Schizosaccharomyces pombe: one gene and its partner. Changing the gene in region 1 together with any one later gene gives a genetic interaction. Each region holds a gene or a part of one and is shown in the gene's direction. Other genes may lie near its edges.

Region 1 (3,500 bases):
CAAGAGGGTGTGACACCTGACATTCAATCTATTGCCAAATGTTTAGGAGGTGGTTATCAACCCATTTCTGGAGCGCTTGTTGGTCATCGTATTATGAACGTGTTTGAGCAAAAAGATGCTGCCATGGCTGGTTTTTTTACATATCAAGCCCACCCAATTGCTTGTTCTGCTGCCCTGGCGGTGCAAACTATTTTAAGACGAGATCATCTTGTTGAAAGGGCAGCAGAAATGGGTAAATACCTTTCGGAAAAATTACATGAGACTTTTGACTCTCATCCCAACGTGGGAAATATTCGAGGCCGCGGTTTGTTTTGGGGACTCGAGATCGTTAAAGACAAAGCTACCAAGGAATGTTTCCCTCCTGAATACAAAGTTGGTTCTCTCGCCAACAAAATAGGTTGCGAGCATGGTGTTTTCGTTTATCCAGGCATGGGTACAATTGATGGCACCAGAGGAGACCACGTATTGCTGGCTCCTCCGTATATTATCACTCGCGAGCAAATAGATGAACTAGTGGAGGCTCTTAGCAAAACCATTACATCTACAGTTGCGGCCCTTCCTTGAATGTACGCAAGTTAACGAAATTCCTCTTTATCAGTTATAATGTTTCAGATAATTTGGATATACTTATGTTAGAAGACCTTTGGTCATGGTATAATAATTAATTTTATATGAAATGAATTTACAATGCATTAATATACTTTCTCCGCTACGACCCTTCGTTGTAATAAAATTGATAATTCCATACGGCTATAGGGTAGACGATGGCTCGCAATCATTTGAAAACATGTTCTCTGCGTAAACGCGTTTCTATATAGTTTGAATCAACAAACGTAAAAAACAAAAAAAAACTTGGACAAGCCAGAACTCGAATCTGGGACCTCTTCCATGCTAAGGAAGCGTGATAACCATCTACACCACATGCCCATTTTATTATACATTACACATTTATAGTATATTACAAGCATAGTAGGCAGTATACCATAATTTCAACTATTTAATGTATAATAAATAGACACATTATTAGCCAAACAGTTTGGATTGTTTTTGGGTTATTTTCATAATGTAGAACCAGTTGCTAATACTTCGATACAAGTTTAATTTTAAAGTAATATATGTCTATTATTTTACCTCTTCATCCAAGCATCGATGGTGTAGCGGTAACATCAATGCCTTCCAAGCATTAGCTCCGGGTTCGACTCCCGGTCGATGCAATGTTTTTAGCCTTTTTATAAAAAAAATGCAATGTTAGTTTAATAAAGACGATAGCCTCGCTTGCTAACATCATGTTTTATAGTCTTGGCTTACTTCCTTAGAATCTTTACTACGATTGCTACATTGACATTGCATGCAAATCAGTTCCTAGCTGATGGATCCGTTCTACAATTGACGAACAAAAGATATTTGAAATTTGTTAATAAATTAATTGTTATTTTATTTATATTTCTGTAACGCTGTCGAGACGGACAATCAGAGAAAATGCTGTTACAGTTTACGAAAGACCATTTTTTAAAGCCATACTAGTAAAAACGACACCATGTTAATAATGATTTGACTAGAAATTTTATGAAAGAAAACATTCTTTAGTCATAGTAGGATGCAAAGCTATTCCGATTGTATAAGCAGGGGAAGATCGGTTCCCTATCGATCGTTTGAAAGGTCAGCTAAATACGCTAAATACGATTTTACGGGATCACATTGGTAATGTTGTAAAGTAATATCAAAGCGAAGCTAACAAATTGGTAATATTTATGTCGTGATTCTTCACTACCTGTACTTTCTTCCTACACCAGAAAGAAAATCTCAGGTGTTATTGTAAAATTGTTTTTATTTTGGTACCGAAATTCTGAAAGTTGAGTAGTAAAAAGTTCAGAGTACTTCATCCTGAACAGAGTTTCACTACTTTGATCATTTTATCTAGCCTTTACAAGTTAAAGCGATTTAATACTGATCAGCATTGACACCAACGTTTTTGGTTTTACAGGTGTTGTTTAGAATATAAATTTATATACTGCAGCTCTGCATCAACCTTTCTCCTTCCCCTCTAGCATTTTTCTTGCACACTTTAAGCCTGTCAATGGACGCCCCCAGAAGATCTAGCAGATTGGCAGCCAAGATTGCAAACGTCTTGGATAGCAAAGGAACGATTATTCCTGAAGCTGCTCCAGTAATGCTGAAAAAGCCTGCAAAAGATGAATCAGTTGATTCAACTATTCAAGTGGGAGACGTAATTCCCGATATCACTTTGCCTGACGAAGATGGAACTTCCATTCGACTTCGCGATATTACTGCAAATAAAGGGCTTGTAATTTTTGCCTACCCAAAAGCTAGTACTCCTGGCTGCACGAAACAAGGTTGTGGTTTTCGTGATAACTATCCTAAGATACAGGCCTCTGATTATGAAGTTTTAGGGTTGTCTTTCGATACTAGCAAAGCTCAAAAAGCTTTCAAGGATAAGCAAAACTTTCCTTATCATTTGCTTTCGGATCCTAAAGGTGAGCTAATTAAAAAGTTAGGCGCTGAGAAGCCTGGTGGTGGAAAGCTGTTTAGAAGCCATTGGATCTTTGAGAAAGGTACTGGCAAATGCATAGTGAAGGAAATTGACATATCACCTCTTGTCAGTGTTGACAAAGCCTTTGCTGTAATCACTGATTCTGAACCTTAGTTGACAAATTGTCTACGCTCATTGTCAAATTTGGAGGATAGTCTACATGCCTATTGCTATATGATTCATGATGAAATTACACTTTTTTATGTCTTGCTACAATGTGCTTCAACCCTGAAGATACATTCAAATATGATCACTACACAATTTTATACAAGTTGATGGTCCAAGTTAGTGTTGTTCTTATTTTAGTAACGTTGAGATTAGATTAAATAGTTGCCGTATATCTAATACAAATATAGCTCCAGCAACGGTGTAGATTTTTGGTTCATTACGGTTAGAAATCGTAAATCATTATTTTTTAACAAATAACTCATTTTGATTAGAAAAGTTGGAAGTTTCATAAAAAGAGGGAAATCTTCCTGTATTCGTTTATCTTTGTTAGTGCTTTATGGTAAATATTTGCGGTCGTAAACAGAAATTCGCTCTTTACAGCCCACAATCAAATGCTCCAACTTATCGACGGGTGAGTTGATCCAAAGAATATCTGATAAATCAGTAATTTCCTCTTGAGCTTCTCTGCTAGGTAAGCTTTCGAGAGTTGAAAGTTTATCGTCCTGCCTCAAGAAAAAGACTCTTCCATCAGATGCACTAATCGCGAATTCCGGACGATTTACAGCAAACGCAATACCAGTCAAAGAGACTTTGCTAATCGATTTCTCTGCAAGCAATTCCTCACTCTTTACATCGAACACTCGCACCATGCCATTTTCATGCAGAGAATATAAGCGATCAGGGTTACCATTTTTCCATACGATCTTGTTGATCCTGTCTTTAACAGCCGGATTACCAATAGCAGAATTTCCAGCAATGCGCATTTGGCTTACAAGAATTT
Region 2 (3,762 bases), on another chromosome or scaffold:
TGCGTAAATTTTGTATTTGCTGCGACAGCGAGATCAGCAAAGCGTTTTGAGTTTCGATCACATAGCTGTAAAGGAGATACACCTTCGGTTTGGGCAACAGTCTGTACTTTTAGACCATGCTCATCAGTGCCAGTACTGGAAATGACGGAAACATCGGGTTTAAGATTTTGAAACCTGGCAATGGCATCCGTCAACACAAGACTGTACAAGTGACCGAGATGAGGTGCAGCATTGACATAGAAAATAGGTGTTGTAAGGAAATAAGGTTTTTTAGAAGATTCTGAAACTTGATGAATTAGCCTACAAATCCCTTTGCGCAGCATCTTGCTTCAGAAGACGTGTATGTATGTTTAGCGATCAACGTTAGTAATAATTTGTATATTTTAGGACTGCTGTCAGTAAACGTTAGTAATCGAAAACGAATATAATTCTTTAATTCATTGAGAATACAGCAGGGAAACCAGCAAGTGGAGAATACAGTGACACAGACGGTGCCTTGACGTACGTTAGTGGTGTATGTATATCGAAAACTAAGCTTGGTTTTGGATAATTGCTTTCTTCATGATTAATATGATTAATTTAATATCTTAGTAAAAATTCCTAATCAGTAGTTTAAGTCGTTTATTGGTTAAAAATAGAATGGTAGAATAAGACAAGTGATACACTAGGAGCTGATATTTAGTATACGCATAGACCCAAATTAATTCAAATGCTAGTATTTTTTGACTGTATAATAGTTTCTTCAAAAAGAGCTCTAGCAGCACTTCACAAAGGCCTAAAAACAGTAAAAAGATTGAAACTAGTGTATACAAAAATTAGGTGAGAAAATAAGATTGCATTCAGGAATTGATCGAGTCGAATTTTGTATTACCTTCAAGTATTTATCTTCCAGCAATGCGAAATCAAACTCATGTCAATGATTAAATAGAATAAAGAATCAATGCTGAATTTCTTTGAAATTGTTTTACGATATACGGTATAAAGAAGGATAAGTGTTTAAGATTCGAAATAGTGCTTTTTTAAAGAGATAATGATGTATTCCTTAAAATGATGCTGCACGGGATATTTCTTTGTTTAGCAATAAAGTAATTTGTGCCATTTACTGTTTCAATTTTTTCCAATATTTTTTTTTTTTTAAATTTGTTGTAATAATTTTTTAATTAAATTTTTTTTAAACAAGATATTCTAGCATATGCTGGCTAATTTTATTTTATTTACATATTTTTTAAATATTTAATAAAGTTTAACTATTGCTTCAATTTTTTCAAATACCTATTGAAAATGATTTTGAGCTGAATCACTGAGTGAATAAATCGATCCTTACAATAGCAGGCAATTGACAAGTTATAAGAAATTTAGTTGGAATCATTACATAGTTGCATTTTTAGAGTAACTGAATTTGAGTCATACACACATAAACTGAGTTCTTAAATGACTACGATAACCTCAGAATTACACACACGGTCATAGGGTAGGACATAGCTGGAATCTAAAAAATAAAAAAAAAAATACTGTATGTAATGCACAATATTATAGAATTTGTAGGAACTATAGAAAACAGATAATCCATAGATGCTTTGAGTAGGGATAAATCAACAAATAAAAGCATTTAAAACCAATTCGTATTTTCTTGATGCTTTGTTTACATACTTACTATGTACTGAGTATCTTATATCTACGCATCAGATAATCTACAGTAGTGCAAAGAGAATGCGTTATAAAATCTGAAGTTTCAAAGTTCATACTTGGTATATTTTGGGATGTCTACACTATAAAAGAGAATCTAAACCTCGATTAAAAAGATGGTCGTTCATAAGAAAATAAATGGGTCGGTAAAAGTTTCAATTTGTAATCATTGATTGCAAGCCCTGCTCATTTCCTAGGAAAACCATGACATAGTGATTTGCAAATATAAGTTTGCAAAATAGTATAATGAAACGCAGCGTAGTTGTAATCACAAAGACGCGGTTTTTGTGACATTTTGAACACACTACTCTAGTACGAACCATACTGACAAAGAAGTGTGCGGTTTGGTTTCACAATCCTTTATCTACTCATCTGTAATTCCTAACTCAGGCGCTTATTAAATTATTTAAAATCTGTGGAAATAATTGCGCCTTAAATGCATTAAAGCTCATTTGCACTTATAATATACTGTATAAATTAAATTGAATTCGACGTGAAATAAGCAGAAAAAAGGAGGAAAAATGACTAAACTCTGGGTAAATTTTTTCAGCCAGAAATTATTAAGGCTTTTAATCCCATCAATAATAGTGGTATTTGCTTTCGCTGCTCTATTTGCAATATACAGTCCCATTCAACTTGGAGGCATCAATTTCTATAAAAGAACCAACTTATTTACCGTTGAAGAATTGGGCGAAAAAGAATTGGAACTATCTAAGACCGTTACTATCGATATATACAGAAAAGCAATGTGCATGGATGATTTGGAGCAATCGCGCAAATGTACAACGTTCGGTTTGGATCCACCGATTTCTGCTCACTTATTTTACACATATAACCGTGATACGGGTATGAATAGAGTTGCGAGACAATGGAATCGAAGAATTCCAAGGGTATTTCATACCATTAAGGGATCTAATTTCATTGAATTGTCTCAATTCACGGCATTTGAAGTCGAACTTCGCGTAAGCCACCCAAATTGGGCTTTTGTTAGTTGGTCACATGATGATTTAAACGAATTAGTTGACAAATCATATCATAATCTTCATAATGCCTGGTCTCAGTTATCGCGTGAAGCTAAAGATCAGTGGGGATTTTTATTGGGATTGTATGAGTATGGCGGTGTTTGGATGTCTCGTTCTTTACAGCTTAAAAAAAATATTGATAAATTTGTTTATGCGGCGGAGTTATCCGTAAAACAATTTACAGAAAATATCACATCTTCGACTGTTGAGGAGTTCCAACCGATTTTTATGGCCCCAAAGTCCCTACAGTATGACTTTATGATTGCTACTCCTAAGCATCCGTTTGTTCTCTCTCTCATTAACGAACTTTGCAAGTCGGAAGTTTTATTAAAAATCCTTTCTAAAAGGCCCTATCATGGTCTTGATGCAGCTGAAGCGTTGTTTGCAGAAAACCGAGAGTCTATTACAATTCGTGAGCAAGAATTCTTTGTCAACACTTATATCGATGACGGGAAAGTTTTTGTGAAGAATAACCCTCACATCATTTTTATCCCAACAGAAGCCTTTGCTTCAACTTGGGACTTCCTTCCTAGTGAAGAATCTTCTGAAATGTGTTTCGCCGACTCTCCCCTGTTTGACCCTGACTATTGCATTAGCCACAGTTCAAAACCGGATGGGAACGAACTTGCCATATACTGGTCTAATTCATTCGACTTGATAACTGCTTGATGATATTATGATGTTTCATCTTTTTATCTTTTCACAAATTTAATTTCATTCAGCAAACAATAAACCTGACTTGATCCTTTAACTTTTTTTTTCTCTCTAAGGTATCACCTACAGTTATGTGCGTTTCTTCCTAATCATAGTTTTTATTTAATACTATTGCTAAGCATCCGTTTTATAATCAAATATTTTCTGTCGTGGAACTGTCCTGCAGCTTGTTTTTCTAATGTGCCAACTATGTCTTTACATTTAATGTTCTATGGTTCTATTGTCTTTCTTTCTTTTTTTTAGTTTTTTATTTTATCAGATCTAGGAAAAGCTTGTTTCTTAGTTTTTTAAATTCGATCCTTCATTTATTGTTCAACTGTAAAGTTTGTGATACTTTTAT

What was found. Genes that interact genetically often act in the same process or in processes that back each other up.
Region 2: mutations in bcp1 (region 1) and pvg2 together harm fitness less than expected from each alone (positive genetic interaction), as found in Schizosaccharomyces pombe (one large-scale study listed by BioGRID).

Annotation. Positions count from the first base shown.
Region 1 is NC_003423.3:283,103-286,602, reverse strand, and holds bcp1 (thioredoxin peroxidase), read left to right. Parts: upstream 1-1,786; 5' UTR 1,787-2,077; coding exon 2,078-2,665; 3' UTR 2,666-3,000; downstream 3,001-3,500. Other genes in the region: SPOM_SPBC1773.03C (aminotransferase), read left to right, coding at 1-564; csc3 (WD repeat-containing protein), read right to left, coding at 3,055-3,500. UniProt on the Schizosaccharomyces pombe protein: Thiol-specific peroxidase that catalyzes the reduction of hydrogen peroxide and organic hydroperoxides to water and alcohols, respectively.
Region 2 is NC_003424.3:4,017,875-4,021,636, forward strand, and holds the start of pvg2 (Golgi 4,6-pyruvylated galactose (PvGal) residue biosynthesis protein Pvg2), read left to right. Parts: upstream 1-2,000; 5' UTR 2,001-2,207; coding exon 2,208-3,377; 3' UTR 3,378-3,762. Other genes in the region: msm1 (methionine--tRNA (Met) ligase), read right to left, coding at 1-323. UniProt on the Schizosaccharomyces pombe protein: Involved in cell wall biogenesis. Has a role in the addition of Gal-beta1,3 moeities to galactomannans and their subsequent pyruvylation. Has a role in meiosis.